Linked DNA regions of Drosophila melanogaster. The protein of the gene in region 2 interacts with the protein of the main gene of each other region in a pairwise test. Each region holds a gene or a part of one and is shown on either strand. Other genes may lie near its edges. The genes, in order: pirk and PGRP-LC.

Region 1 (15,773 bases), on a different chromosome or scaffold from region 2:
ATACCATTATATATAAATCTATTATTGTCTTATATAAATATGTATAATTTTGCCGTTCGAATAGTGTGCTTTAATTAGCGACCTTCAAATTGTTGTTGATAACAATTTTCTTAATTAATTAATCCCAATCAAAAGTAAGAAATTATCTCAATCTTAATTGCACTCTGTATCTTTTCGAGTTTCCCACAGATTAATGAGGTTGATTGCACCCTGAGTTTGCATCTCTCGAAATTCTTTCCGGCCATTCGAGTAAACAGTGAGTGTGAGTGCAAAGGTGGCACTCGTATTTCGGTAATGAATTGTTGCTTTGTATACCAATGCCAACTGTCAACTCGAAAAAAAAAATCCCCGGGAATTGATATTCGGCACCTATAGAAAAGCAAAATATATTTAATTAATCAGTACCTGTATCGGCTAGCGTCGGGTGCTTTTTCCGGTAACAATGAAAATGGGTCAGTGTCCATTGCATCAGCATCTCGATGGTGGTGATTAATTGGTGGTTCTTAGAAGTTGTCAATGGTACGACTTGACCGCAGATAGTCGCGTACGCATTATGCTGAGGAAAGCACTTATCTGTGTAGTTTACCAAGCTCCGAAGAAAACGCAAGTTACGTTGTCTTTGGGGGACTTTTTGTTCTTTTAGCAAGAAATGCAAAGAAAAACGCAGCAAACATATATATTTAGACATATAGTTGTATTTTTTAATCAGATTATTCATTCTCGGAATGAAGTTTAGGCTTTGTTCACACTGCGCTTCTGCGTTACGACTAAACATATACATACAATACATATATTTCCCTAATCAGTGGGTGTGTTTTGTGAATAGTAATGGATTTTTAGACTAGCGACGTGGCGTTTAATACTTGACATTGCTGAATGTGCAGGGTGATGTTAATATTGGTAGCAGTCGAAAGACACATTAAGACTAAGTGACTATTTTGCAGTCAATAGGAACCTTTGCGTTCGGTGGCAAGAGTTTCGTTACATTAATCCTTAATCTTTGGCCAAAGATGACTTAGAGAGCTCAAGATTCTCAGATGCTCACGTTGATGGCATTCTTGATCACAATGTTCCCGGCTCCGTGCCGTATCGTTAGATTGCTGTCGATCTCAATGCCGCCGGACTTGCCTTGGCCAGCATCCGTTGGCGTTGGCTTGGCGTTTTTCGATCGAGAGCTGGGCCTTTTCTTGGCATCGCCGCTAAGATCCAGGGACTTGACCACCTTGAGCAGTCCATTGCAGCCCGTGTAGTCGACCACCTGCTGCGTGGAGCTGCTGCCCAGGTAGATCCTTCCGTCGTTACCCGTGTACTTGAGGGCTCCGCTATTGTTCTGGATCTTGAGTCTGGTGCTATTGCCGATTACTTGCAGTTGCCCGGAGTTGTTCACAATCCGTATGCGGTTGCCATTGCCGATGATCCTGAGATCGCGCGTGTTGTTCTCAATGCGGTACTCCTTGCAGTTGCCCACCAGATCCTTGCTGGCGTAGATGGTTGTCTCCGGCGGCGTGGAACTTTTCTTGCTCTTATTGGGGGATTTACCCTGCTCGTGCTCTTTCTGGCAAGTGGAGCACTCGTCATCGTCATACGAATCGCTCGCCGAATCGGTTTCTATCACACGAACGCCCATTTTGGTGTGAATTACCGCCGGTATCGTTTCTTTCCGCTGCTAATCACTCGTAAAAATCACCGTCCAGTCTGTCGGTTAGCTCATTCTCCAACTCTTTTTCCTATCTCTATCTCCGTCTCTGTCGCTGGGGGAAGACTCCGAATGATGAGCAATCCGGATGGCTAAGGTCAAAGATATCCAATTGTGTGTGTTGTTTTTGTATTCAATTCAGCGCTGGGGGATCGTCTGCTTCCGCCAGGGGAACTCCCTCTGTTTTCTGAACTTTTATTGTGCGTTGAGTTTGGCGATCTCTGGTATCGCTTTCGCCGTGCTTACTGCTCGCTCGCTCGCTGGCACTTTGGCTATTGAACGCTAATGCCGCTCGGGAACCGCTTTTATATCCGCCGGAGAGTCTAGCGCCGGGGCTTTTTTATTTCGCCCGAGGGCCGGCACGAAAATCACCTCGTATGCATGAGAGTCGCGAACTTAAAGGCATCTCGCCATCTGGGGAGACCTTTGATTGGGTCGCCGAATTTATTCGGCATGAGTAATGTCCACCTGTTGGTGCCCTCGCAATGGGCTCGTCCATCGACTTGAGCTAGCCAAATCTTCAGCATATAGTAATAAAGTTTAAATATATATTTAGTTAACAGCACCAGTAAATTCAAACATTATTACTGTATCTTATCGTTTTATAGTTTCTCCTAAAATGATGTGCTTATAGTCTTATCCCTAATAGTAATGGGTGTTATTCGGGTCTTGACCCATCAAAGTGGAATTTATTTACTTACGCATTGTAACTTTTCGCTGTGTAGACTGTTATCAACTTATGCAGTACAGACCCAACTTTGATGGGGATTTTTGTTAACTTCTCTTATCATTAATAAGTCCACTGATATAGTTGCTGATTTCCATTTTTGGGAGTCGTAAACGCGGAGTCAAAAACCCACCAACCCCAACCTAAAGGGGTAATAACCGACGATAACCGATGATAAAGTTTTAAGCACTAGAAATTGATAAATATTTACGCAGTTGCCAAGTGAGATCTGTGAAACGGAGGCAATGATTTCCTCTAGATGCTTCACGAGCCTGTTTGTTTACAAACAAAAAAATCTCACCCGTAATTTGCACAATCGACTTCATTGGCATTCGATTTAATTTACATATGTTTACTTATATATATATCCCGAAAGCTTCCGATTCTCGATCTTGTCATTTTCTGCGATCGTTCCAAGCTGAGTTGCCAGTTCAAGTGACCAGCTCAGTCGGTTGGGAAGCCTGGAGCTGAGCAAAGCCCGGCCAAGTCAAGCATACATATGTATCTAGATCGCCAGCTGAATAAACACGCTAGCATCTAAACAGTTGGCCCAATAATGTTTACTCGTGCGGGGAAAGCACCGCAGCTATGGGGCTACAAATGAAAGGGGTGTATTGCCGAGAAGGTCGTTTTTTATTATTTTCAAGGTGCATTCACTGTTGACAAATCAATTATCTATTGCGGAAAATTATAAAATGATTTATTTGCCAGATCGCTGTTTTGGGCCAGTAAACGGGGACTTTTTTTGCAGCTATCTCAAGTGTGCTCGCCAAGCAAAAGCAAAAGTTCAAGAAAAGCTATAATCGTATGAAGCCTTGTTCGGTGTGAAGGCGTTATAACGGCAAATCGTGTGTATTATCAGATATGACACGGCGCAGTTACAGCGCACACAAATGGAGAAATTGTGCGAGCCCAGGAAAAAACCCCCTCGATCACAACCCATAACCCATCAAAACTGTTACCACCTGCAGCCACTATCTAGCACGCGTCTAATACCGGTACTAAAGCCCCACCGACCAAAAAATCACCGATGCCAGATGTTTTATCTTTCATTAAGATCGAGGCGTTGCTTTGTTGTGTTTCATGTTCTGGATCGAAATAAGTGAACGTTATGTACTTGTTCTGACAGATACTTTAATACTTTTGATGGGGTGTTAAAAGCATTAATATTGCATATGTGTCAGATAACAAGATAATGCATTTATTATTAATGTCAAATATTTTAAATAGCCAATGCAGTTAAAAATCTAAATTATTTTTTATTTAAATTGTTTATAAAATGTATAAATTTAGAAATGTATAATCAGCTAATTGATTAAATTAGTATTGTAATGGTAGGTCCACTCCAAAATGAAATCGTTGCCATTCACACCGATTTTTAAACAAACAACGTTTATAAACAAAATCATGTCATCTCTAATAGTTCGTAAAGTAAATATATAAAATAGCAAATAGGTAAATGTGAAAATTTGTGATCTATTTAACATCTAAAATTTGAAGTCAAATTTTTAGGGACATAGAAACAGAGTCAAGCGACATTATATTAATTAATGTAGTCGTTATTTAAAAGAAATTAAATGAAGTAGATATATTTAGATTTTAAGTACACTCTTAAGAACCACCCTAACATATGTTACTAACCATTCACAGTTTGTTATAAACAAAAAGAACCCATCTCTATTGACGTGAGCTTTTATTGGTGCTTATTTCATAAGTAAGCAAATAAAAAGCGCTCCCATAACGAAATCATACTTTAGTGTACAACACCAACGCCAATCGGTAGTAGGAATATAAACAATTATGAATAACAACTCGAATGTTTTGACTATTGGCACTGAGAGCACTGGAGATTTCGAAAGCACAAAAACACGCAATGAGTATTCTGTGTCTGATTTTGAGAAGCACTTACAGAAAATTTTACTGAATGGCGGCAAGCCTTTGACAAATGTTTGTGATGAAGGATCCGTCGAAAGATTTGCGGCGAAAGAAATCAAGAAGAACGGATACTACTACGAGTTCGGTCCGGCTGATAAGATAAATGGCTGGATGATAAGCGGACCCACTTTTGACTCCAAGGGTATTCTGGGACGATTAAAGAATGTGATTGGCAAGGAGCACTGGATATCCAAAAACGTTGCTAAGTATCCGAAGGATTCGAGGAACTTCATAATCAAAACTGTTTCCAACGCTTTGGATCAAGAAAGATCAGATATTTACTCATATTTGTGTTATCTAAATGAAAACACTAAGAGGAGGTGAAGAGGAGGTGGTTTGTTTGCCATTCACCGTTGTTCCCATTGTTTATAAACAAAATCAACCCATCACTAATTTAGAGCTTTGAGGAAACTTGTACCCGAAATGATTTCATTAGTAAATAAATAAAACAACACAAACGGGCATTATTAATACTAAAGCAGGTGAGCTGAAAGAGTTTCATGCTAGGATATTCCACTTACGAAGTATCTTTTAGATTCAAAAATGACGTCAACAACAAACGTTTTAAGTATTGGAAATGAAACCGAGGAACTATATTACAAGGTACAGAAAACAAGCAACCCTAAGGCATATTTTGAGTTCGAGTTTGAGAACCACATGCGAAAATTACTGCTCAATGGCGAAAAACCCAAGGATCTGGATGAAAAGTCCATCGGAAGATTTGCAGCCACTGAGATAACGAGAAATGGCAAGCAGTACTATGAGTTCGTTCCTGACGGATACAAAATTGGAGTCATCATCAGTGGATGCTCATTTCTGCCCAAAGACATGGTCTTCCGCGTGAAAAAGAAGATTGCCAAAGAACACTGGGTTAACGAAAATGTAATTCAATATAAAAAGAATTCAATGCGCCACATACAGGGTATCGTATCCGAATGCTTGCAGGAAGAGTGCAATGATATCTACCAATATCTATGTTATCTGAGACAAAATGATCCCAACAAGTAAAATAAACATGTAATATATAACTTATAGATTTAAAGTTTCATATAACATATTGTAATTAGCTTTAAGTGAGGTCGAATAACTATCTGCCATTTGAAGAAAATAACTGACTCAATTTCACCATAATTTCAAAATATTTGTTATTTTTTACCAGATACATATAAAAAATAAAGGTGACTAATGCTAAGCTTGTCATATTTCAACAATCCAACTATCAATTCATTTGAGTTTCAGTAACCGCATAGATTTTGAGAAAGAAAGTTCGAATTTTTTGTAAAATACTAATAGAGTGTACTAATACTAATAGAAAAGGAAGTTCAAGAAAAAAGTTCGAGTACTTCTAAAACTTGTCAAACACGTGTGCCTAATATTTCCGGAAAAGTGGAGTCAAGCCAAAGCGTTTCCTGTCTTGAAAATAAAATTCTATCGGTTTCTGATCTACCAGTAAAAAGCCCAAAATCATTTCCTATTATAATGGGTAGAATACTATTGAGATCTAATTGTCCGCCGGAACCCGTAATAAAAGTGAATCTAACCGACTTTGAGCAGAATCTGTGCTTCTTGTGCATGGAGAAACCATCGTTGGGAAAGCGAGTGTATCACATGTTCGTCACAAATGAAATGGATATTGAAAAGGACTATCTGAAAGTGCGAAAAACCTACGAGAAAAGAAAGGACATCGTAGTCGTGGACCAGCTAACACTGTACACCCTTTGTGCACGATCCTTGTACCACAGAGTTCAGAATAAGTTAACAGATGTTAAGTGGAATAAGCAGCGAAATGTTTTTGAGATGAAAAAGATTGGACTAAAGGACAATTTGAACCTTTGGAACAAGTTGTATGCGCTGGAAAACGCAGAGAGGGCAAAGCTATTTAACTATACTAAGTTCCTAAGCGCAACGAATGAATAAATTGATATTTGTTTTCATATCCCTTTTACTTTAAATGGTATTATTCGATTTAAAAATTTGTGACCTGCATCAGCAGGTCCACCCTAATCAATAAACATATGGTTGCCATTCTCTGGAACACTTTCATTATCAAGCTCACCACTAATATTGTGCTTTGCTTGTGAACTTTTATGTTGTGAAATAGCTGAGTATTTCGAATCTTTACAAAACAATCCATCTATTTAACTAGTGGCCTCTGACCAACACAACTCAGTATTAGCATAAACATTAAAAGGGACACATTACAAAATTCTAAAAATTATAACCATGGAATCTGAAGCTCAAGAACGTACTGCACCTGTATCTGCAAACAAAAGTGATTCATCAGCGGCACCTGTGCTCAATATATCCGGAAGGGTCAAGTCAGAATGGAATACACCCCGTATTAGGGGCAAAAAGAAGCCGCCGGCTGTCTTGGAAGCACCCAAAGTGAATCCGCACACATTTCCAGCGATATTAAGCAGGATTCTACTGAAGACCAATGCTCCGCCTGCAGCTCCACCGAAGTTTAATCCAGCCGACGGCACACAGTACCTTTGCTTCCTGTGCCTCGAGAAGCCGGAGAGTCGAAAGCGCGTCTATCACATGTTCATCACGACTGAAAAGGAGCTGGGAAGCGACTACGCGCACACCAGGAAGTTGTACGAGAATCGCAAGGAATTCATATACACCAATAATATATCCGTGGAAACAGTCTGTGCACGAGCACTGTACCGTCGGGTTCAAAAGAAGTTCACAGATGTACAGTGGAACAAGCTGGGCAACGTTTTCGAGACTGACATGGTCGGACGCAGTGATGTCTGGGGTATATCTAATCGAGTTTACGCTTTGCGTATCGAGGAGCACGAAAGACTATTTAATTACATTAAGTTTCTGAGCTCAACGAAGTGCTAACTAACTACATTCGATTTTAAGTGCCAGTACGAATTGTGATATCTTGTGTTTATTTTTTATATTAAATCTCTGCTTTGCGGATTGTTTGATTACAGTAACTTTCTGTAGCTTATCTTAAATTGTGTGAACCCGTAATGACTCAACAGCTGCTCCAAAATGTATCCGTTGGTGGCGAAGAATACGGCTCCTTGCAGTCCAATCCAGTAGAAGGTGTTCCATGTGTGGAACTCCAGCAAATAGGCCGGCAGCAACCACAGCGCCTGGGCAAGCAGCCAGAGGAACAGGAGACCGAAGCACCTTCTCCACGACAGCATCTTGAAGTTGTTCAAACAGAGCGGCAGAATGGCCAAGTACCAAATGAAGTACTGAGAGGTTACCACCGAGTTATAGGTGACGATGACAAAGGCCACGGCAAAGATGCAGAATGGCAGCGTCTGGCGGAACTGACCGAAGCTCAAGCTTAAGTAGAGGATGAGCAGGAACTGCGGAGCCAGCACTAGAGTCTTCAGGATCGCAGAAGGTTCCGCCACACTCGACGCACTGCCCAGGTACTGTAGAAGGAACTGCAGCGAGAAGTTGTGTCGCGGGTCCTTGCGTACGAAGTGGTACAGGTACGCTTCATATATATATTCCCAACCGTACATTGTGTAGAAGGTCCAAGTGAAGGCCACTAGGCTGATCAATGTTCCACTTATCAGGCACAGTTGTTGCTTGTTGGGCCGCAGGATTTGGCACAGGAAGTCGAGGGGAGTTTGTGTCAGCCGCGTTGATAGCGATAAATAGTATGCCAAACTGAATAGCAACGGATACAGACGGAGGTGTATCACTAGACCGTGAGCCAAGCCCGCTCCGAATATAAGCCAGTAACTCCTGGTGACATTGTGCTCAGATTTTAACAGCAGGTATATAGTTAGTATCACGAAGAAGCTTGAGAAGCAATCGCCGCTTCCACGTGTGGATATTACAGCCGTCAGCGGGTTGTATAACCAAAAGCAAGCAGAGGCGCGGGCCAAGTTCTCTGGATGACTTCGCTCATCCAGGGCATCCAGCGATTGGTCCGAGTCCCGTGGCCTGTTGAACTTGCTAAGCAGGTGTTGTACGGTCTTCTGGTACTGACTCTTGATTTCCATGTGCACCAGACGGTAAATAAGTGTGGCGATGAGAAGATCGAATGTCGCATACAGTAGTTTACCCCACGCCGGATGAAGCAGGATGTTAAAAGTCTGCAGATATGCCATGATTGGGCTATATCGGTAAGTATGCCTGGCGAAGGGTGTGTCCCCAGCCAGAACTTGACGGGCTCCATCAGTCACCACCTTGTAGTCTATATCGGTGTAGGGCACGGCGGACTGACTGTCGTGTAATTGTCCGTAGCAAATTAAAGCTATTCGCAGCAGGGCGGATATTAGTAGATGGGTCCGAAAGCTAGTGTAAAGGATGCGGCGACCCAGTCGCTGCCATCCAGTGGTCGCAGCCTTTGTTTGAGTCATCGTGTTTATTGTTTACGTTTGTCTAAAGCTTGGTCTTCATTTCCAAAGCGGTCTTGCGGATACAGCTTAGGAACTCCTTGAACTCGGTGTCGCAGATTTTGTGCTGCACGTTTAGATCACGCGACACGCAAACCGCATACGCAGTGGCTTTGTCCGCGCACTTGCTTAGCAGAACTGGATAGTTGCGGATTCTTTGGTTGGCTTTGCGCACCGATTCCATGCCTTAGCTTAGCGCTTGTGAGGCGGAACTTTGTTCTCCGGCGGTGGTAGGGGATCGGCGATAAAGCAGTCAAACAGGGGCTTGGAGAAGAAGATCAGAAGTGAGCCTGTGATGAAGGAGATCTGGAACAGGCGTGGATTTCGCTGAATCCACGTGCGTTTGGGTAGCACAGCGGTTCGCCTGCGCTGATTTGCTTGCTGTTGCTCCTTTTGGTCCAGCAAGTCTTGAATTTCCTTCGGAGGCCTATACTGCGGTATGGACATTATTTGTTCCTGCAAAACGAGTTGATAATAGTGTATATGGAATAGAGAAGTTGGCTACAACTCACGACTTGCCGGTTGCGTTCTTTTCCTTGGATGCGTCTGGTAGATAAGTCTTCTCCAAATCGATTCCACTGCAGCAAAGCGATTCCTTGTGCCACTTTAAACAGCACTGGCGCATTGCCTCAAGGACATCCAAGCACTTGTCCTCCTGGTAGTGATTCTCTGTAACCGAGTGCAAGTCAGCTTACATAACCATGAAAATGGAGTCACCGGCGGTGCTTACTGGTCAGACAGGCTTGTATGCGGCAGGCGTTCGGTTTGCAGGGATCCTTGCGAGTGTCAGACATGTAATCCTGCCCAGAATTCTTACGATATTAAATCGCTCTTGCAATATGTGAAAAGTACTTGGAAGTGTTCTGCACTCTTCTTCTTCTTGGCGGTTGTAGTCATTCACAGTGCACGATCAAGGTAGCCAGACTGCGCGACGGTCAGCTGTGTAGGAAACCTAATACATCAAAGCAAAATAAAAAACAATCACATAAATAACAACAAAAAGAAATAACATCTCTTATAATGTACAAAAATTTTTAATCTTTCAAATTTTGATATTAATACCTTTTGCTTCCCTGTGAATACCCCGCCTGCTGCGAGAGCAACTGCCATTCACCCATCGACGCCGACAGTTGGGCACCAAGGAACTGTTCTTGTGTGAAAAACACACACACATTTGTTTTATTTCACTAGGACTCTTGACGATTACTTCACAAATCGGAAAATGCCATCGAAAAAGAAAAAATACAACGCACGCTTTCCGGCGGTAAGTTGAAACCACCGATTGGCGACAGGAAAGCTCCAGCCATTTGGCGGCCGTGAACGCCGAAGATGGGTTATCAGTTTTCGTGCATGTGTACATACATATGTACATACACGCCTCGCATAATCAGAGGCTCAAAAGAAGTAGAGGAGAAACCAAACCGGTGCGAGATTATAATGTTTCCAAACCATTACCATAAACTCCTTGCAGGGTCGCATCAAGAAGATCATGCAAAGCGACGAGGAAATCGGGAAGGTGGCCCAGGCGGTGCCTGTTATCATCTCACGCACGCTGGAGCTCTTCGTGGAGTCGCTGCTGACCAAGACGCTGCGCATCACGAATGCGCGCAACGCCAAGACGCTATCGCCATCGCACATGAGGCAGTGTATCGTATCCGAGAAACGCTTTGACTTCCTCAAGGAGCTGGTCCGCAACATACCCGACATCAGTGTGGCCGAGGAGGCCGCCTACAACGAGGACGATGTGTTACGCAGCTCGCCAGAGGAACAGTATCCAGATTCAGACACGCCATATGATCTTAGCCTGCCATCGACGTCAATGCGCTCGCAGGCGAACGGCACAGCTGCCTACATGCGCTCCATGAGTCTGAACAACGGAGCCGGATCGGGCGGAGGAGCCGCAGCCACCAAGCGGCAGTTTCAGTCGCAGCACTCCACCCAGGAAACTCCCACCACCAGCACCACCCTGCCCGCCAAGCTGGCCCGCTCCGGGTCCATGCCGGCCTACACGCCACGGGGCAGACCGCCCAATCACCTCAAGAAACAGTCGGTGCAGCTCGATACTGCCATACCCGCCCCGATCTGCAACTACGAACTCAACAAGCCCATTGTCAAGATCGACTACAGCCACGTGCAAATGCCGACGGCGAACCTGTGCACACCGGACGCCTCTGATTCTGGGTCAGGATCGGGCGCCGGATCTGGAGCTTTTAACTTCGACATAGCTGCTCCGGTGATCAATATCGATCTGACGAATATCGTGGCCGGTGGAGCACCTGGCAGTGGTGTGCCCCCCGCCTCTATTGGATTACCAGCGGCCACGCCGGGGGACAACAATAATGTGAACCAAATGGCTGGAAAGAGCAGCGCTCCCATCATTCCAAAGGCCACAGCGGCATCAGCGACCCCCACTGAAACCGTTTTCGAATTAGACGAAGACTATGACAATATTTGATTAGGATCTATGTGAATGCGCTTTTAAATTATTGATACATTAATATGTACTCTAGGTCTAAGAAATCACAATAACATTTTTTGCAAAATAAAGACCATGCTGGATTTTAAGCTGACGCAATGCGGAGTACTTTAAATAGAGAAAGAAAATTTATACATTCTAGCAGATAATGCTGTTTAATTTGCATACGATATTAAATCAGTTTATCTTTGAATTAGATGTACTAAACAAGTTCAACAATTATTGAAAATGTTTGCATTCATAGACACCATAAAAAAGCCGCCTCTGGGCGGCCGAAAGTCATTTATGCCCATCCCAGAGGCCAAGTTAGTTGACGATGTCGTCAGCTACATCGCCAAGCCAGAGTTCTATTCGACTGTTCCAGCGGCATTGAAGATGCAACGCCTTTTCTATGTGCAATACAGCGAACTGGCTGCCAAGTTGGAGACTGACCTCACAGCAGTGTTAACCCGTTTGGAGGCTGCCAAAAATAATTTGGAATTGGTGAGGAGGTTCATAGACAATCCTGACAAGGAAGTTCACAGCCTCGTGCAAATCGCACAGGGAGTATTCAGATGGGTGAGCATACCGCCAGTGCAAAAGGTTACCCTTCAAGTGGGCGCATCTCTGCAAATGGAATTCGAGCTGTCCGAGGCGGAGGAGTTCATCAAAAAGGACATCACCAGCCTGGTGAAGCAGCAATTGCAACATGAGCACGATATCGACTATCTGCAGGATCAGGTGAACACGATTGAGATGAACCTAGCCGTATTGTATAAACATGAAGTGGAGAACTAGAAGCATCCCACCATCCTTAAAATTGCTAGTACCTTGTAGTTGCTTATAAAGACATTCGTTCTAAATAAGTCTTTATTGTCTAAATGCCTTAATTTCCAACGAAGTACAGCTCTCCCTTGGAGTTCCCCACTAATTCATTCATTACAATTACATTATTAGCAGCCCGGTAAAGAGGTCAGAGTATCGGGACCGTAGGATCCCAGACTGTGCCCTACAAAATGTGACCTTTATTACCGAGCTCGGCTATTTACAAGCCTATACACATCATAATAATTATGACTTAATTTCGCCAGGGAGCACCGCTTAGTCATTGTGTAATCCTCGGTCACAGCCAATTACAATTGAATGCCTTTCAATCCCATGCCCATGCCTTCGTCCAGCTGTTACTCCAGCCCTCCGCATATTCGCACACGCAATCTGCCAGCCACAATTGATATTAATTTGTGCCCGATGTGGGTCAACCCATGATGTAGACTCCATTCCCTTCCAAGGATACCAAATTATATGGCAAAAGGACAAAACTGACCAGCAGATGAGCCACATATCGCGTGGGAAAATCTTATTGCAAGCGAATAAAATTACCCAACCGCTCCCAGTGAGCAAAGGTGCAGTTTTGAATTATATGAATTTTCATCCATGGGCTTGGCACACTAGATTAGGGTCAGCACTATTCCCGAATTTTGATTAGCCAAGCCCAAAGTCGAGATTAGATTGCTGCGCTCTCTCAACCAGATCAAGTGAATCCGCCAAAGAGTTTGGGCTCGGCTAATCGAAGCCCCTTCAATTGGGGGAATCAGATCTGCATCTGCACACCTGCACTCGTGGACTCCACGCTGTCCACCTGTCTTGAGTCATGGCGCAAAAAAAAAAGAGGTTAGAAACAATAAAAACAACTTGCGGCGCGCCGCCAGTGCCAAGTTTTCATGTCCAAGGCGTATTTATGTCAACCGGAAGTAGGTTTACTGACCCACGTATACCCGTGTGGCTGGCCAAACGTGGACTTCGGCTTTCTTCGGTGGTTTCTTCACCTAAACCCGACTGGTCAGTTGCCGTGGAGCTCCACGGCGCAGGACGATGTATAAGAAGGTATTTGCCCACGGCGGATTAGTTTTTCTACGAACGGCGAGTGCAGTGCATCGGATCGATGCAAATGCGCGTTGAATTTTTTGGGTATTCAGTTTTTTATTTGAAAATCTCTCACCTTTTTTTTTATGACAATAACTCTACAAGTAACGGTGCATTAAAAATTAAAACCAAACTGCCTAAAATCGGATAGAAATCGTCGGATATATCGCAAACATTAAAAACTTCCAACTCGGTTGTGTAGTGAAAAAGCCCAAAACAATTAACTCGTAGATGTCTCTAGGAATTCCCCGACTTGTGACTCCGTGTGACTCCACTGGGGGTTCGAGTTGGACCCCACAAGGGGCGGGTTTTTGGGGGCTAACACGACATTAGCCAAGGATTTCTCCGGCACTGCCACTTAAAAGTCCCCCCGTTCCGAGGGATTCGTGGCTTTGGTTTGGGTGGTCTGTGTTTGCACACATACCTGTCTTTAGGCGTTATTGCTGCCACTGCCGTTGTTGTCTTGATGTTGCAACAGTGCCCGGCTGGCCAAGGAGTTCGTAGCTGCGGGCCAAGTGTTGTTGACTCCTAGCCGCTGCACAAGGCAACGCGGAATTTGTTGCGGTTTTGACCCTATTCCAAAGCCAAGGAAAGTGCAGTGTACTCGCCGAGGGTCTTATACTCACTCAGTCGAGTGCAGGAAAAGCGTCCTTCTGCCGAAGCCTTTTGCAATATTTATGGGCAGAGACACCTTTCACACAGTGATTAAGTGATCCTAATTTTTGGGCGACGCATAACTATTTTTTGACATTCTAGCGGATAAAATATTCAAACACTTAAAATAAGGATATATTTACTTTCAATACTAAATCAATAGGCGTATTTTAAACTGATTTTTTTGAACACAGTAAAGGAAAGTTTTTATTAATACCTATCATTACGTTCAATCAGAGCTCTTATGTGCAATCTCCAACTCCATAAAACTGCATTAAAGTGAAATGAGCGAAAGTGTTCATTGAAATACATGCGTGCATTCAATAGATACAAGTGGCATTAAAGTTATGAGGCATCCCGAAAAGTATGAAAAATTAGCTGACTGAGCTTCTCGGTGGCAGGCAGTGCGGCGTAGAAGTACAAAAGTGTTGGAACATCGCGTGCCACAGACATACCAACAGGTGTCACAGCCAGCCGGGGGAAACTGGGGGAAGCAATCAAAAGTTGTCTAAGAGGCAGAAAGAGCTGAGAAAGAAGCACACGCCGCACAGATGAACACAACGACATGCAAACGGCTAATGCAGCCGCCTCGCTAGGCGGCGAAATGCGGAAAACTCGCGGAAAAGTCGCGGCGAATTGGCGCCCCCGGTCGCCTTTTCTTTTCGGCTTTTCAGTTCGCCAGTCTCGATATCTCAGCGGGTCTGCGTGTGCAAACTGTTGGGGCACCGAGTGTGTGTGTGTGTGGGGGGGGGGGGCATTGTGTGCTGTTTTGGATTTGAAGTGTAGGCAATATTTCTCTTGAAGGCCTCCATTTTGCTCACTTACCGCTGGTCGGCCATCAGTTTAAGTTAGGCAGCGGCCACGTTTCGTCGCGTTTCCATTATTTGTTGCGGCTTTTCAGCAAATACATTCTATTTCCGAATTAGACTAAACTTAAAACCCAAATGTAAATTATATAATGCGCTCCAGGACCAAACTAACACAGTCAGTGTGGACGTGGCAGGTATTAAAATTCGTTATTCAAGTGTGACCGAGCGTTAATGAGATGCAAGAAAACTGCGTGTAATGCGGCAAGCGATTAAAAAACCAATTCGCAAATAGGAAGCTTAAGCCGCCTGGGAGCCGGCCAACTCCCCCAAAACGCGTCATGGCCAAAACAAAACGAAAGGAACGAAAAGGAGCCGGCCAAGTCACTTCCTTTTGGCCCAAAGTGTGTCACCGAAATTCGAGCGGCGGGCCATAAAATGTAGGTTAAATATTAGGCAGAGGAAAATCAATGCGAACAAAGGCCATTCATTCACACCTTTCCTCCACCTTCCCCCCCAAAACCTTCATGGGCTACGTCATTTCGCTAAAATATCTGCGTACCCAGCCGCACAGCTCCAATTAAACCATCGCCTTCTTCTGGTGATAGGATAGTCTCAGCCCGCTGGCTTCCACATCTGCCGGGTCGTTCGACTTCAAGTGCAGTCACTAATGCGGCAATTTGCAACATGCAACGCCGGTGCAGCCAGCCAAGCCGAAGCCATCCGCCCAAAAGCAAATCCCCATCCCCATTCCCCCCATTCAAGCCTTTGAGGCCTCCTCATCAAGTTATGCTCTCGTTAGCGCCAAGACAAGCGTTTGGGAGTTGGGAGTCCGACTCGGATTCGCATATAGCAGCAGGTGCATGGCATACCATAACGATTCCGATTTCAAATCGGTTTGGTTTCGGGGCGGCTTTATCAGCGCCTCGCACGCAGCTATTTATAGTTGAATGTGGAGTGAAATGGCATTAGAAAATAAAGCCGTGCAGTAATAATTACTCTACTATTTTTGCCACAACCAGTGATGGAAGCGGACGTATCCGGGCAGTTGTACCTAATTACTTTTTTTTAATTGCTGATGAATTTAAATTACTTTACTCAAGCTATTAAAAATTTAGGATATTTGAAAAAAGTTACTTGGTATGAAGACAGAAATTACTTTTATTATTATTTTTAAAAATTCGCCCAGGTAAACATACTC
Region 2 (16,621 bases):
TTTTATACTGACCACAACTAGTTTTCCATCCACATGGATTTCAGGATCATTCGCTGGTTCAAAGAGATCAGCTGTGTTAGAAACCCTTCGAAGATTTTGAAGGGACGGATGCAAACCTTACATTATAATTATCTCCAATATTTAAATCTAATTAAATTAATGATTCATTAATCATTGATCATTATCAATGATCGTTTTAAAATTTGTCTTTAGGTTTGCATCCAACCCTGACCATTTTCTTAAGAGGCCATACATACATCCATGTATCTTTTGTAAGATATTCGTGATATTCCATTCAACTCAACTATTGAAAAACTTTAATTTTTCTCAATTTTGATAGGGGTTAGGTGGGGAATGAGGTCGAATAAAGCGCGTTTGTTTGTCATATTTCTTAAGACTCTATTTACTTGTAATTTTTATATAATACATGACTTATTAGATTTCGTGTGACCAGTGCGGCCACTTTTTAATGATCTTGTAGAGCTCCTCCCCGGGACTCTCCGTGGCACTCAGTTGACGATGGCCATAAAGACGATAATTCGTCGTCAATTTCTTAAGACGAACGCCCTCTTGCAAAAGCAGTTGGCATGCCTCTAACTGCCGTTCGTTGGGTTTTCTTGTCGTGAAGGTTCCAATAAAGGATATACCAATGCTTCCTCTATTATAACCCTTGGTGTGAGCGCCCACATAGTCCCAGCCACGCCCCTCGTACACACGGCCATCGCCGCCCACGAGAAAGTTGTAGCCTATGTGGTCCCAACCCCAGCTGTCCATGTGAAACGATTGGACGACATTCACCCGGGCGGAGCAGACTTCCTTCGTTGCGAAATGTCAGGATCAAGCGTTATGAACGATCAGGAGATGGACTATGGAAACTACTTACCCTCGATTCGCAACCCTCAGCGGCGGTGTGCGAGATGACCACCCGATTGATGGGCAACTGTTGCGCATCCAACATCCTCTTGGCAGGTCTTCCGCCCCACTCGGCTACTTTTAGGATCACCAATGTGCTATTATCGATGACATCCAAGTCCGCTGCATTGAGAGTTTTGGAGTTAGCATAGCACGAAAGCGACCAAAACAATAGTAGTTACTAATTACTCGCGATTTCTTAACATTTGCATCAAGACATTTAAGGGTGTACGAGTTTTATTATTTTATTATTTTTATTATTTAAAACTCACACTACTATTGTTTTGTGAACTTATGGGTGACGCACGAGGTCGATTCACTGGCATATTCCATTCAATTGAACTTTAGGCCACACTTTTGATTTATAGGTCACTTCACAACACTGACAAGTGATAAGAAACGCGATCAGAATAATGGATTATGTACCCAATAACGACTACACAATGTTTCTTATGAGTTACATATGTATATACAGTATGAGATTAAGATGGATTATACACATGCTGGTTGGGATGGTGAGATGATATATGTTAGAGCATGATCGCCAATTCGGTTTTCGTTTAGTAAGGAAGCACTTTTGCACACTTAGCGGGAAACAAAACTGTACCTATTGTTGAATTGATTGGAATATTTTGTCTGTAATCGTCGTCATCTCTGATCTTACTTTGGTTCAACGTCTTTCCGAAGAGATTTGTGGTGGTGGCCAGTACGATACCCAGCAGGAAGGTTAAAGTTACAAAAACCACTGTAACTGTGACGGCCTTGCGTCCGACAGTGTTGGGCAGAAAAGGACAAATTGGTGGGGTTTGCGCCGGATCTTCGTGTTTGGAGCCTGAAAAGTGTGGGTAAGTGAAAGCTGTTTAAAAAATGTTAAGGAAAACTTAAATAATGAATAAGGCAAAGATTTCTAACGGCTTAATAATAAATTCTATTGTTTATGAAAGATAAAAGACTTAATTTTATTTGGAAACAGTGGAACCACCTTTGTTAAAGTTTAATATATTCGTTAATTTAAAGAAAGAAATTTTGATTTACGAAGGATTATATAAATTATTCAGTTTTCTATTTAGCCTATAAAATCAAAGATTAGCTTGCTATATATTCAGTATTTCTTCTTACGCTTCACTAGCCCCTGTTCTAGGATTTCCAATCGTTTTTCATGTTCCCGCAGTGACTTTTCCAACCACTTGCTCATTTGTGCTCCAATTTGCACCCCATTCAGACAGTTGTCACATTTCCACCTTAAATTGGGCACCATTTCCAGCAATTTCAACTGATCCTCGGACAATTCCGTGCATTTGCGATGACAGGACCGACCACAATAAACATTATCACACTCGATACGCCTGTCATTATCTACGATTATCCCGTGACACTTTAGGCAAATTTCAAGCGTGTTCCTCGACATTCTCCGATCGCTTTATATGAACAACTGAAACCGATCGTTGGGTACTTTTCCCGATCCGCGCACATAGTATGCAGGAACTGTTCTTGTTTTTCACTTTTTCATTTAGCAAGTATTTAAGCCGCACGCAAAAAACCCCCCCGCTTTATATGAGTATTTATTGCGTGATCCAGGGGAAGCACCTGCCTTTATAAAAACAACACTTAACTACAGCTGACTAAATTTACACTCGAACCCCTGGTTCAATTCCAATTGGAGACTTTCGCCAACCAGAACGGCGATTTAATTATGGTAATTGTGAAAATCAATCAAGTAAACAATTGCAGTTGCTATGGTTTTTTTTTGTGCGTAATTATCGCAAGTTTTCACCGATTTGATTTACGAGCTGCGGGGCCTTGAATCGGCAGAGATACATTTTCTTTTCGTGAATGAAATTTTACTTGTTTTTTTTTTGTGCTGAGATTGTAATCGGAAAACAGGGAGATAAAAAACGAGTTCTATAAGTAATAAAAAATGTATTAATATTAAAAAATCCCCCGACACTATTGGCGTTAAAACTTTTTCTCTCATGAATTTTATTTTATGTGAGACAAATTTTGGGTTCGTGATTTTCATAAATATTTTTTAATTTTCAAGCTAAAATATTTTCTATACGTAATAAAATTATTTGGCATTTTAACAAAATTTTCCATAATGAGTTTTGTTGCCTTGCGCAATTAAATGCATTTAATATGTTTTTATAGTAACATGTAGTATTTGTTCTAGGCGCATACAATGAATCTGTCTGCTTTGTGGGCCATCTGCTAATCTACCATTCGCAGCACGGTCGTTAGACCTGGCCAATTGGGTTGAGTAAACAAATAGTCACACGCGCTCAGTTTTGGCCCATTAAAGCAAACAGAACCGCGGCAAGGTGAAGACAGAAATGAAACGCAAACAAAGGCAGCAGGAAATAGCAAAATAATATATATATGTTTTAAGGATATATATCCCAGAAAATATATATTTTAGAATAGAAAACTAAAAAGTTGAAATTATCGAACTAACGATCCTCAAGAATAACTATGCAGAAAGATGCGAAAGCAATCGAAAGTTACAACTTTTAAGATTCCATTCTTAGTATAGTGTACAAAAACTAAACGATATCAGATTTAGATTTTAAAATACAATCTATTAAATTAGCTTAGAATGTCTTACCCGGCGCACTTCCATTCGTGCTGGGACCACCATTGAATGCGGGGTTATCCTGTCCACCAGCTGGTCCCTCGCCCGGTTTCCACTTGTCCCGATTATCGATGAGAAACTGTTGTATCGTCACGGGTCCCTCGTAGAAATGCTTATCACCGAACGTCACATCTGTGGAGTTGGTCAGGGCGATGCTGCCAATACCCTGCGTGGCACCGCCCGCCGGCGATGTGGGCGTGGCCACGGCCAGATTACCGTTCAGTATTTGCTTGGCCACAATGCCAGCTTCCAGGGGATTGGGTGGTGGTACTGCCGCCTCACCTGGCGCCACATGGCGACTGATCACCGTTAGACCCTGGTTAAGGTCGCGCAGGTGTGAACTGTTGGGCGGGTAGGTGACCTGGTGACCCAGCTTCTGGACCGTATAATCCTCCGCTTCGGCCTCCGAATCACTATCAATACTACTCGAGTCGATGGCATTATCATCGATGGACACAACGGAAATTGTGGTACTCCGTATGGAAACCGCCGGCGAAGATGTCTTTCCAACATTTTCCGTTGTTATATTGACAGTGTGCTCAACGCTGATACGCTTGGATTCCGTTTTCTCTTCCGATTTCGATTGGAACTGCCCTTCGCCCGTCCCCCGATCTTTGGTCTCCTTCTCCGGCCGGAATGCCGCCACATTATCGTTTAGTATAACGCCCGAGTCTGTGGACGAAGTACTGCAGTTTTTTGGTCCAGTCAACGGATCGTTTACTCTACGTTTCGCATTGGAACATTGGCTCATTTCCGTTTCATTGCTAAAAGGCATGTCGAACTATCGTGACAGTCACGTAACCAGATTGATATTTTCTCTGGATCTCTGAGCGTTATGTGTTAGCCTTCCTATTTAGCAGATTGGGCGGTACATTATTTTTCGTATGGCAAAACGGCTGACTAGGCACAGCTCTCGGCAAACATCACATCATGAGCATCTGCAAATAAGTATACGTTTTTTTTTTTGTTGGTCCCGGTTAACTTGATGATAATAAGCTAGTCAAACGTTGTCAAATTTCGAAGAAATTTTTTGTTTGAATTGGGCTAAAGTGGGCTTAACTTTGGGGAGGCACTTTGGCTTTATGGTGCACTGATTTTTTTATTTTTGATAAAACCACATAATTCCCTTGTGTGCAAGTGTTTTTAGAACATTGATAAATATATGTATATATTTTAACAATGTATTGCTGATATTATATTATGCGATAAGCTAAGTGATATTTATTTGATAGCTTTGAGCATTATTAAACGGTTTGGATAACACACACAATTTAGAAAAATATTTCGTCAGTTCTTTAATACTTTTCAATTACACATGCTTTATAAAAGTGATTTTATTGTTATCACAATCCATTAGATCGTTCAGTTGCAATATGATTTATAAGTACAATCAACGCTTTTAGTTCATGTATACACGATTGTTGATAAGCTCGATTGCCAACAGAGTTTTTAAAACGCGAATAAAAAACGTTGCTGCTGTTGTATGGCAGTGAAGTTTGTATAATTAAGATATAAGGGTATTGAATAGTGCTGGAATATATGTGTATGTATACAGTTGACTTATATTGTATACTCGTCAAATTCGATTCAAATAGTTGGTCAGTAAGCTCGCACGAATGCAAGGCTTATGCAAATTAGCTATAATCATTGACGTAGTCTATTTACTTAAGTGGATTCCGAGAAACACAAAAGTAGTAGTTGTTACCCATACATATGCATGTTATGCTTAATTTTGGATATTCGAAAGCCACGAGTGACGTCTTCAAAAGGCTGAAAGATCATTATGGGCATATGCCGTGACGTCTTGATGATACGTAGATACGAAGGTTTCCGAAGAGGTGTGCCAATTTCAAAACAGTAACTCTATTTTAAAGAATTCCGCGAATTGTGATAAACTCGATAGAATTGAAAGGGTGCCTTGGAGGGTAGCGACTTTATACTTTAGAATCGATGTTCTAGAGAGTTGGCACAGAGCACGCTTTTGAGATAACACCAAATGGAATACACCGAATAACGACAACGGCTACAAATGAGAAACGGAATGGCATTTTGAGTTTACCGAGCGCACCAATACACGTGCACGGGAGCGGCGGCCATTGTCACTAATACACGCACAGATCATCACAATATGGGTGCTCTTTGTTTTGGTTGTATTCTGTTTGGAGAATCGATAATAATTAACAACTCTGATGTTTTACGTGTTTTCAAAATTATCATTAAATATGGCCTATGTGCAAATTAATTGATTTTCGATCGATGTTTCGATAGCATGTTTTCTTTTTCACTTCCACGAATTTCTTTCACTTCCTTTCGTGTTTCGAAAGGCTAATTAACATTCCTGGAACATAAAACGATTGGAGAAACAAACTAGTTTGCACTTAAATATCGATATAATTGCTCAATTATTTGTCACTAGTCATATAATAGGATTATGATTATTTTGCGGTGTGTAATATTCTATATAATCACTCTATATTCTATTCTATATTAACACTTTGCATATCGTTACGCACTTTAAATTGCCGACGAAAACCGTTGCAGCTCGTTTGATATTTGAGCGTCTATACTATATAGCCAATTTGTAAGTCGAACTTTTTATACCGTTTCGCGCCAATTTCGAATCGTTGAGCAGCGGCGCGTTCGAGTGACTCTGATCAACTGAGCGGCGATCAAATCGCAGCGGCCTGAAAAGCTGGAGCGTCTGATATGGCAGCGTGTGGGGAGCGTGTGTGAGGGAGAGCAGATCGCTGAGAAAAAAAAAACAAAGAGAATGATGGGGAGAGAGCGGTCGGCGTTTTTGCGTTTATTTAACCAAAGTTGTTTAATTTGAGTCCGATTTTCAGGCAGTCCAACTTGTTACCGATTTGCATTTTAATAAGTGATTTCTCAAAAGATCTTAAGAGTGCAACTCAAAAGCCTTGTTCCAAAAAACTTCTAAATCGTTTTAGAAAATATAATTTTTTAACATATAGTGTTTACATATTACATAATATGAACGCGTTCTGTTGTATTTTCTATCCTTTTTGTAATCTAGCGTTAACCAATAAAATGCAATGATTTAAATTTTCCTTAAAAAAAACTGTACATTTTAATAACTTATGATAGCGGTACAACTTTTTCTCAATCGAAACTGGTTTAAACGAAAAGCGAGTGATCCCAAGAAACCGAAAGAATTCCGATAACTGCATCTGGCGAGCTGCATATTTCGGTTTTTCCGAGCGTCATTAAGTCGCGGAACCTGTTCTCGATTTCGGGTTTTTTTTTATAAATCTTCCAGATATTAGTCAAATTTATAACGATACCTCCAGCTACGCCCCGTGGCTCGAGAATGGTCTCTCCAACTTCTCCCACCTGACGATGACTGTTTGTTTTTGTTTAGTTGTTTAGTCGTCCGCACCGACATCGACACAGACAAATCGGCGTATACGTATTATATATGTACATATGTATGTATATAAATATATATATTTTTTATTTATTCAACCAATAAACAACACAAATCTCCGGCTCTCTCCCGTCTACCAAAACACTTACAGACATTGCAGTGTGGGCAAAAATGTGAACATTTTAAATTGCGCTACCATTTCCGAGAATTGTTTTGTTTTGCGGCCCGCAATCGGTTTTTGGCTATTTCACTTTGTGGTACAGGCCAGTTATATATATATATATGTATACATATGTACATGTGTACATAGCTCTTTTTTTTCTCTTCCAATTCCAGCTTGACCCATTGTACTTGTGTTGAAAAATATTTAATGTAATTATAGGCGAACGGCGGTTCGGCGATCTCTGATAGTCTGAAAAGGGCGCCGGGAAACTGTTGATGGATAAAACGTAAAGAGCAACAAATTGGCGAAACGAATTCCGAACACGCTTACAGAAAAGAAAAATAAAAATATAATTATAAGTGGAAAGCGCAACGAGCTTTAATCGAAATAGTTGTAGACTATTTATAATATTTTTTCTCTCAGTGTTCCTGACTTACTGATAAGCTTGTTGAGTGGCCTTTAAAATGTATTATTTTATTGCAGTTAAAGTTCTACACCGAAACATCTAATGATTTATGCCTTTTGTAGCCAGGCAATCTATTCTTTGTTGACCCATTATTTTATTGCGAAAAATGCCAGTAATTATTGTAAATCATTTCCAATGAAGCAGATAATAATTTCTTTACAACGGTTGCGAAATCAATCACCATAGCTATTTTAATATACCTACCTCCACATATTTTCTTACCTTAATTATTATTAATTATTTTTACTTTTTTGGTTCCCTCTTCGCATATGTGTTTTTTTCTTCTTCTTTTTGGTTTTTACACGTGCCGTACTCTCGTCATTGTTTTGGCCAAAAATTCGTTCCGCGTTGTAGGTATAATTTTTTTTTTAAGGCGCCGTGAGATTAATTAGTCAATGAATGTATGTACGTCACTCTTTTGGGCAGGTTGGACTTTAGGTCATTGATGAAAAGAGGGTTAAAAGGCACACCCACTAGTTTATTAGCTTTCCATGTCGTCATAGTTTCAGCTCATCATTTGATGCGCAAGTTAAAAACATAAACATTTCGAAGGAGTTTCTTTTTTTTTTTACCAATATAAATCATCGAACGTACTTCTCTGTTGAGGGCTTTGAACTGAAGGTCGGTGATGATAGCAGATCTTATTGGCAAATATCCATTTCATTTTTAATATATTTCTCTGCTATTACCAGTCTTCCTGTAAATAGGATTGTAATGACTCCATATGATAACAAAAATAAAACATCATTATTATCATTGTACATATATTCACGTTGAAAGGCAGATAAATGACAAAGGCAGCCACAGCGATCACAACATCGTCTATATAAGTGAAGTGAAGTGAAGCTACCGATAATGATGTTGTACTGGCGCACAAAGGCTCTCATATATTTACACACACACACAGACACACACAAGATCGATGAGTGTTAAAGTCTATGAGGGAATAAAAGGGGTACTGGTATTGGCACTGATAGAGGTTGACTGCGGCTTGGGAATTTCCAGCTTTTTGAGCGACAGTAAAACTAAACAGAGCTCCAGAGAGGAAGAGAGACACTATATATATATATATTACTATAAATAAACCGCTTGCTCCCAACCGGTTTACTTTGGTTTCGAAGCCAGCATAACCGATTAAAAGAAAGCTCCATTCGCCTTAGTATATGTATTAAAATACAGTTTGTGCTTGGTTACACTTAGGTGGTAGAAAAGTCTGTAGCTATTGCTTGGCGTCCCACGATTCCGTTTTCATGCCCAATTCGATGCCGCAGGCCGGTGCTTCGTCCATTCCGCAGCCGTAGAAATGCGGCCAGTTCCGGATTTCTTGATACACATATGCACCCGGGCTTCTGGTCACCTTAGTCTGGAAAATATTCAATTAAATTATTATGTCACCAGATATGCCAGATATATAGTAAGTAATTATACCTGATTTTGCGCCACTAGTTTGTAGTCCACATCAATATTTCGATTGGCCACTGCATGGGCCAGCAGAAATTGGACACCTTCCAGCTGTTTGGGACCGGGCTTAAACCGGCCATAGTCGCCCATAAAGGTAATGGCCAATGTCTGGTTCGCATACGTGTTGGCCCAGTCCCAGCCGCGGCCAACGTAGATGTTACCCTCCTCCGAAACCTGGTCGAAACAAATTCGGAAATTTGACAATTTGCGTAAGCGGAAAGCGAAATGCCCAAAATGGCACGTGAACGTGATGGGAACACAAATGCACGCGCCGGGATTTCTTTTCCCTACTACACTCGAAGAAATTTTGATTTTTAAGGCTTAAAAAGTATTATACAAGGCTTATTTTAGGAACTATGTTTCCCATTGAGGCGCGTAAAAGAGTGCAGAACAAGAACAGGCTTACATAAAAATTGGATTGGATATCCGGCAGACCCTTCTCAGCAATGGCTGAATCCTGAATGGTGCGCATCTTGATGGAGCACTTGTAGATGTTATCGCAGGGCAGAGACTGCACTCCAATGTGGGTGATTAGGACGTAGGGAATGGGTCGCTTCAGGGGAATGGTCAGACCATGAGAGTTCTTCGACGCTCCCCACTGCTCTCTGTCGACGACGAGATGGCCGTTTCCTAGATTCGGAACTGTAGAATTGGTGAATTGGCTATATGGATTATACAAGTGCCATCCACTTACACGTTTGGTGGTCGTAGTTGTTGCCAAAATAGATGGCTTTATTACTGGGCAACTCGGGCTTGGGTCGATTGAGTTCCACGTAGAGCACAATCAATCCGGTGGCCAGGACCAACAGGATCAGCGTGATCAGCAGGATGGTGTTCCGAGTGACCCGCCTAGATGGCGACTTATCACGACTTCGATTGGCGTTGCCATTACCATTGGCATTGTTGCTGTTGATTCCTTAATTAGCGAAAGTCAATCAATTAGCATATGATTCACAAAAGCCAAGAAATTGTATCGTTTCAATGGATATATTGACTTAAAATGTTTTTGAAACATTTTACGGTTTTGCATATCAAAAGCATTTATATTTCTATAACAACAAACAAGTCGGAAACTTAAAATCATAATCTAGAAAATTTAAATAATTTTAAAACGTTTTTAAGCTCAATTATCTTTCAGGCCTCTAAATATTTTTTTCGGTGTCGGAAAACACGGATCTAGTTAAGCCTGTGAAAGCGCTGAGTAAATCTAATTTATTAGTAGATATTAGATTTTATGTATGTACTTGATGAATCCCGGGAGTGGGCTAAACTGGGTTCGGGTGTACGTCTTCTGCGCGCCGTGCGTTCCGAGTGAACTTTTAGTAACAGTTTCATGGCACTTCGATCCACTAAGCTTATCACACCTCTTCGTTATTGGACACAAAACACGGCATTATAAGCCTATATATCTATTATGAGTAATTGACCACTGAGTCATCGGTAACAAATATCATAGCAAATACTGGGAACAGCGGTGGTCTGCAAATTGATTGTTTTATAATGTGGTACAATGGGTTTGACCGATAATCGGACGGCGGAGTGCCACTGGTACCGCCACCGCACCTGAACCCGTCGCACAAACAACTGAAATGCGGCGCAGCTGTCGATGGAACAGAAAGAGAAACAACAGCCATACAAATTGCAAAAGCGCTGGAAGTCAGCCATCTCGCTCTACCCTTGCGTTGACATGTTTTGTGTTTGCTTGCGTGAAGAAAGGCCAGGGGTTGAGTTGACGAGGGGGGGGGGGGTGGAAGTGGTTGGAAGTGGGGTTTTGAGGGGGCGGCAAGGGTGCGTCATGATGATATCGCCGGCCTTTTGTTGCTGTTTTGGCATATCACATTTTTTACACACTCACGCTTTGCACTCTTACTTCTCGTATTTCTCTCTCCCTTTCGCTCTTCCGTACTACGTGACGTATGCGCAATATGCGCCGTGCATCGCAAGTGGCTAAAGTTTGATCCACAAACTAGCTCTCACCACCACCGAGTGCAACTGAGCGTTGAGTGCTCTCTTGTTGCTCGAGATCCCGACTTTTTATGTGTACGTTTATTCCGGGAATCCCGCCCCACGCTATTTGCATTTCAATTACATTGGTTTTTCACTCATTTGCTCTGTTCTTTTCGCTAAATTATTGAACCCATAGCCAAAGAATAGTGATCGATCGAGTTGTGGAACTAATTATCCATAATGAATTATACATATTTAATTTTTCTTTTCATTTAAGCTGACTAATTGCAAGTGCTAACATTTTGAACAAGATCTTCAGAACATGCAATTGTCGTATAGTTGAATTTGTCAAGTGAAATCGTAATAAAACACTTTATTAGTAATTAGTTTGATTCGTGATCTGAATCAAAACTTGCTGATATACCCAAATCGAAATTAACCACGATCTGGCAACTGAACATAATAAATTTAAAACAACCGGTTTCGAAAATAAATATATTATGTTAAAATAATTTAAATTTACCAAAAAAAAATACCTTTTTATTTGGGTAAAGTTCAGCACCCTGCACTATTTAGCTTAATATTTAAAAACATTGGGAAAAAAGTGAATAGTATTTGCAAAAAAAATATAATTATTCTCGTATATTATTGTTATATTGTTATACAGTAGAAATATGTTAATTTTATTAATTAATTGTTGCTTTAATTTTCCCGTTTACAACTATAATTTTCCATTCAGGATCGGGGACTCACCTGCAGCCGTTTGCATGGCGTGTGCCTCCATATAATCCATATAGTATATGGATACCGGTCCCTGGTATTGGGTCATGGGACCGATTACCACGTCGGTGGAGTGGTTGAGATTTATAACGCTGGACGGCTGGATAGCTGGATTTGTGAAGATATTCTGCGGTAACGGAAGGCCGGAGGATGAGGTCGATGAGCCGGCGGACGTGAGATTGTGCAACCTTTGGGCGGGACTCGCTCTTTGACGACCCTGAAGTGTCCACAGCGAATTATCGGTTGTGGGGCTATTGTTTTCCTCGAACATTGCCGATTCGTTTTGGATTGCTGAAAACATCATATGTTATGTGTCGTTATATTACGGGTTTTTCATAAAATTAGTTATTTATAAAGCCACTTATCTCCTGGTTTTTATTTGTTTTAAGAATGTATCAACGTAATTGCAGATAATAACTTTTATTTGCTCCTTAAAAGGCCATATGAAAAGGGCAAAAACCTTACCTTGTTTATGTTTTAAAAAGGGTTGCTTGAATATGACGATCTCAGATGATCAAATCTCAGAAAATCCGTGACTCTTTCCGGAGTACGTAGCTGGCGCGCCAGTCGAACGACAACTGCTCAAAGTTGCATTTCAGCCGGTGGGGATGAAACTGAAAAGTAAACAAAATATCGAATCCTCTCTCTTGGCTCGCTAACTCGGCACTATAGTGATTGCGATTCCATTAGCACTCACTCTCCGGTTTTTTTTATATTGTCATGGCATGAAAATCATTTCAGCTGGGAAATTTTTAAAGTTTATCTTGCATTTTTTACAATTTAATTGCAGGCCTATGACTGGCAGTCATTTGCATAAAGTGTCTGAATTTAGTGGAATAGTACTCAAAGCTAATCTGGAAAATAAATTAAATTATTAATAGTTATGTTCTAATGGGAAAATTTGAGCAATATAAAGCATTTATTTTATATTTTAAACTGAACTCCAAGTGTCGCCCTCTTGGGGATGTTAGCATAAGTAAGAGCCCTCAAAGCTTTTTTCAAGTTCAATGACTAGCCGAACAGGTGGCGTCTTAATTACGCATACGCACCGTTGAACCTCAATATATTCGAATATAAAAAAAACATTCAATGTTAAAATGTTTTAATAAATATAATCTAAAAGTGGAAATATGTTTTAAATTAGTTTGGCTTGCTGTACAAAACGTTTAATTTTCGTGCAATTTTTTTAAATACGTGTTCTTTTTAAGCCACTTTTTCTTTGTAATCCTTATCAAGCGCATCAATTTAATGTGCTCAACGCTCAACCAACAGCCACACGAGATGTCAGCCACTCGCTGCACGCTGTGCAAGCTTCACTTTCGCCACACGACGGCAACTGCAGCACTTGACTTTGCCATGGCTCTTGGTCCATGTGAACCGCCACGGCCCCTCATCACGATCCATCTCACCCATCCACCAGACTATGTCAACTTGGTCTTTTTGGCTTTCGGGCGGCAAGCGGTTTCATGCCTCACGGTAATACACTGAGAGAATTTGGCATAGAATTAGCTTACCTTAAAATGTGATCTATATTTATAATTTATTTAATTATTATAAACCATTTGTTTTCTATACCCTTCGCAACCCATTGACATCTAGGAATCTAAGACTTTTTGGGATTTTATCTTATGAATGCTATATTAATTCAAATTTCCGGTCAGGGTGGGGGGGATTTTCTCGCTGTGGCTTGGAGCCCGGTGCCTGGCTATTAACACGCTGCATGGCACGCAGCAAAAACAAAGCGCATACTTTGACGTCTGCCCTCCTAATGACGACCACGAGAATAACGACGACATGGCAGCGGTAGCAGCTTCCCAAGGGGCCACGACTTTATTCATGTTCAGTTGGCATTAGTCGACACCCCTCGCACCCCTTTGCCATACACCCTATTCCCCCAGCTTGCCCCCATTTTATTTTTTTTCGAGCTAGTCCCCAACTTTTGTTTTATTTTACTTTCTTTTATTCACCCAGCTGTCTGCGCGGGTGTGTGAGTCTAGCAGCCATTGTGCCACCAAACGCAGTAAATGGTTAAGGGTGGAGTGAAGTGAAGTGGGCTGGGTTTGGGGTAAAGCGGCAAACCGGGCGCAAAGACGCAGGTGAAAACCCCAAAGTGCCCTAGGACAGTGCGAAGTGCTGAGTCAAGTGTCAACTGCAAATGACATTTGCATTTCGCTGGCAGGGATCAAGGGGCTGATGACGGGGGGAGGGAGGCTCTGGAACCGCTCCGGTGGCTAGTGGCTGGTGGCTGGTGGTCGGTGGCAACGCGTCAACTACGACTGACATTTGTTTTAGTTTTTCTTCCGCTTTGCGCAAGCCATTTGGCAGTTCGCTGTGTTTCCTGGCCAACAAGAGCAATGGGCAGCGGCGCCCTGAAATATGCAACGAAAAGCGCAGCACAAAAAATGGCTCTGTGGAAATTTAAACTGTCATGGGTGCGCTAATACGTTTGGAGGCCCTTGCCACAGCTTCATCAGAGCCGATTCTGCAAACTTAAGAAAGATACGAGTTAAAGATTTCAGATACATTTATCAAATATCTTATCATCATATCATTGTTTTCCCTTAATTGTAGAATCCCCAACATGGCTGATCTTAATGCTGAACTGATTGGCTTTCGGTTTATGAACACTCAACAATCCAATTGATTAGTATGCGTCCGGAATCCATCAGCATCAGTAATATAATCGACCCAGACAGTATGCAAATTAGATATAGCCAAGGCAATGCACCGCATCTGCGGTAGCTGGCCATGTTAAATTGTGGTTATAAACTACATTAGAGTGCCATATAGTATCTATGTGCATCCATCTCGGCTTGAGTAGATGTGCATAAGTAGAATGCGATGCGTTTCATGCTTGAAATTGCTAACAATTTATCTGGCTTCCAAAAAAGCTGAGTTCAATCTCTTTATATCATTCGACAAATAGAAAATCGGATGACTTAGCAGTTTTGTAAAGAAAAGATGTAATGTATCGTACATCAAATTCAATATGCTGTATATAGGACTTAGAAAACATATTTCATATAATATGCCCTTAAACTGATTCTTCTTAGAAAATGCTTCCACAAAAAGCCCCTTTAAACATTTAAAACTGATATCGAAAAGTACATTCAGGTTTTGTTCGAGTGTGTTATGGCAAATGAAGTCACTCCACTTAACTGGCATTCCCCAAAATAAGTACAACAAATGGCGTTTCGAAACTATTTTTGACTTTTTGGCAACCGCCGGCAGCGGCAATCGCTCGATATTTCTGCCCTTTGTGTTTATCGTGGAACGTTGAATGTGGAGTATTGGAGTATATGCGTTTTCGATCTCCTATGGCTGTCAGAGTAAAAACAAACAGAATCAGACATCTCAACCAGAAAACCCAACCCATTCAAAAACACCCCACCATCCATCCGGAAAAATAAGAGAAAAAATTGAAAATCCCCATCACTCCCACACAATAAAATCGAAACTTTTGCATTGTACATGTAAATTGCCATTGCCTATCCCAATGATGCTCCCTGTTGTGGCCATTGTTGGATTTGCTGGGCGTTATGCAAAAGCAAAAAACTTTTCGCGCAGCGCATAAAATTTTATTTGTTGCTACTTTTGGGCTTGCGCTTGATTTGGCAGCTCTCACACTCGTGCACATGTGTGTATTGTATAATGTATGGGCCATCCTCCTCACTGATATTTGGCATATTTTGCGCACATCAATATCTCGCGTGCTAGTTGGCATCCATTCCAATACCAAGTGCACTTCGAAAAAAATAAATGCTGTCAATCATCTTGTCAAACATCTAATTCTTTTTACATAATATAAAATATAACTATATAACTATTAAGTTACATACTATTTGTTGCCTTGTATTATTACATTCTATTTTCTTAGAATTATGTATAGTATATACTTATACTATGTACTATACTATATATACATATTAATATATTAGTAGTTCTTAAGTATCTTAGTTCTGATATGAATAACGTTTTTTCTTTTATGCCACAGTTTTTTTTTTGCTTGTGCAGTACCAACATAGATACCCATTCCCATATCCCAATACCACCCCCTCTGATCCCAAGTTACCATAGACCCGCGGGCGTATTGGCTGCGCGTTTTGTGGTGCACCATTGAGCTCAAGCGCGCGAGTTGGTGGGTGGCAGTCGGTCTGAAATGGGTGGTCTGAAGTGGGTCGGAGTGGGTTGGGTGCTCAGTGGGTTGCATGTGTGTCAGAAACGTGCAGAAACGGAACCCAGTTGCAATATGAAGTGTGCGTCTGTGTGCCTATTTCATTCTTCTGCTATCTGAGTTTTGGTTTGCGGCATTTAAGCAAATGTTTTCCAAATGCACTGCGTGTCGAAGTCTAAATTTCTCCCGCAGCTTTTCTCACAATTATCGCAAGTACTTGCAGACTTTGGTGCGTGACTTTGGTTAGCTTGCGTCGTATTTTGTCTAATGATTTTGTATGATTTTTGAGCTGTTTAAAGGACGCCACATACGTACGTATATGCAGAAATAAATTCTAGTATTTAAATGTTATTTTTTTAACAGCGACAAGCACTTGCATTAACATGGGAACACATTGTGTGTTCAAGTGGAGCGGAAAGTGTAACAGAAATGTTAATGCAATGAAAAATCCTAACACTCTGTTCCCATGTTATGTTATACCTTTGGATCTACATGTAGGGGGTTGTTTATGGTTGCGCTGTTCTGATTTTAGCATCCACAAAGGGGTTTTTATGGTCACATAACAGTAATGTAAAGTTTGTCTGTAAACATAAGGATTGGATCCACATTATATGGCCATCCTTAAAATGTTAAATCTTAACATACATAATAAGGGGTGGTTTATAGCATTCTGGAACTATGTTAGACTGCAGAAATCCTATTTT

What was found.
Region 1: the proteins of PGRP-LC (region 2) and pirk interact in a two-hybrid assay, tested with the Drosophila melanogaster proteins (one study listed by BioGRID).

Annotation. Positions count from the first base shown.
Region 1 is NT_033778.4:21,660,291-21,676,063, forward strand, and holds pirk (poor Imd response upon knock-in), read right to left. Parts: upstream 2,706-15,773; 5' UTR 2,398-2,705; intron 2,215-2,397; 5' UTR 1,628-2,214; coding exon 1,034-1,627; 3' UTR 677-1,033; downstream 1-676. Other genes in the region: CG42362 (uncharacterized protein), read left to right, coding at 4,224-4,682; CG42363 (uncharacterized protein), read left to right, coding at 4,902-5,366; CG42365 (uncharacterized protein), read left to right, coding at 6,582-7,208; PIG-M (phosphatidylinositol glycan anchor biosynthesis class M), read right to left, coding at 7,298-8,698; CG42380 (uncharacterized protein), read right to left, coding at 8,721-8,918; CG42379 (uncharacterized protein), read right to left, coding at 8,927-9,181; CG42381 (uncharacterized protein), read right to left, coding at 9,181-9,190, 9,247-9,403, 9,465-9,528; NC2alpha (negative cofactor 2alpha), read left to right, coding at 9,957-9,998, 10,206-11,189; CG15676 (uncharacterized protein), read left to right, coding at 11,439-11,987.
Region 2 is NT_037436.4:9,330,023-9,346,643, reverse strand, and holds the start of PGRP-LC (peptidoglycan recognition protein LC), read right to left. Parts: upstream 6,207-16,621; 5' UTR 6,055-6,206; intron 4,480-6,054; 5' UTR 4,317-4,479; coding exon 3,515-4,316; intron 2,445-3,514; exon of another isoform or gene 2,321-2,444; coding exon of another isoform or gene 2,032-2,320; intron 1,745-2,031; coding exon 1,520-1,744; intron 1,036-1,519; coding exon of another isoform or gene 884-1,035; intron 817-883; coding exon of another isoform or gene 436-816; exon of another isoform or gene 378-435; intron 86-377; coding exon of another isoform or gene 1-85. Other genes in the region: PGRP-LA (peptidoglycan recognition protein LA), read right to left, coding at 8,775-8,918, 8,984-9,190, 9,423-9,658, 9,711-9,932, 11,717-12,014. UniProt on the Drosophila melanogaster protein: Major activator of the imd/Relish pathway and is likely to encode a pattern recognition molecule for the humoral immune response. Required for Relish processing and nuclear translocation following proteolytic cleavage.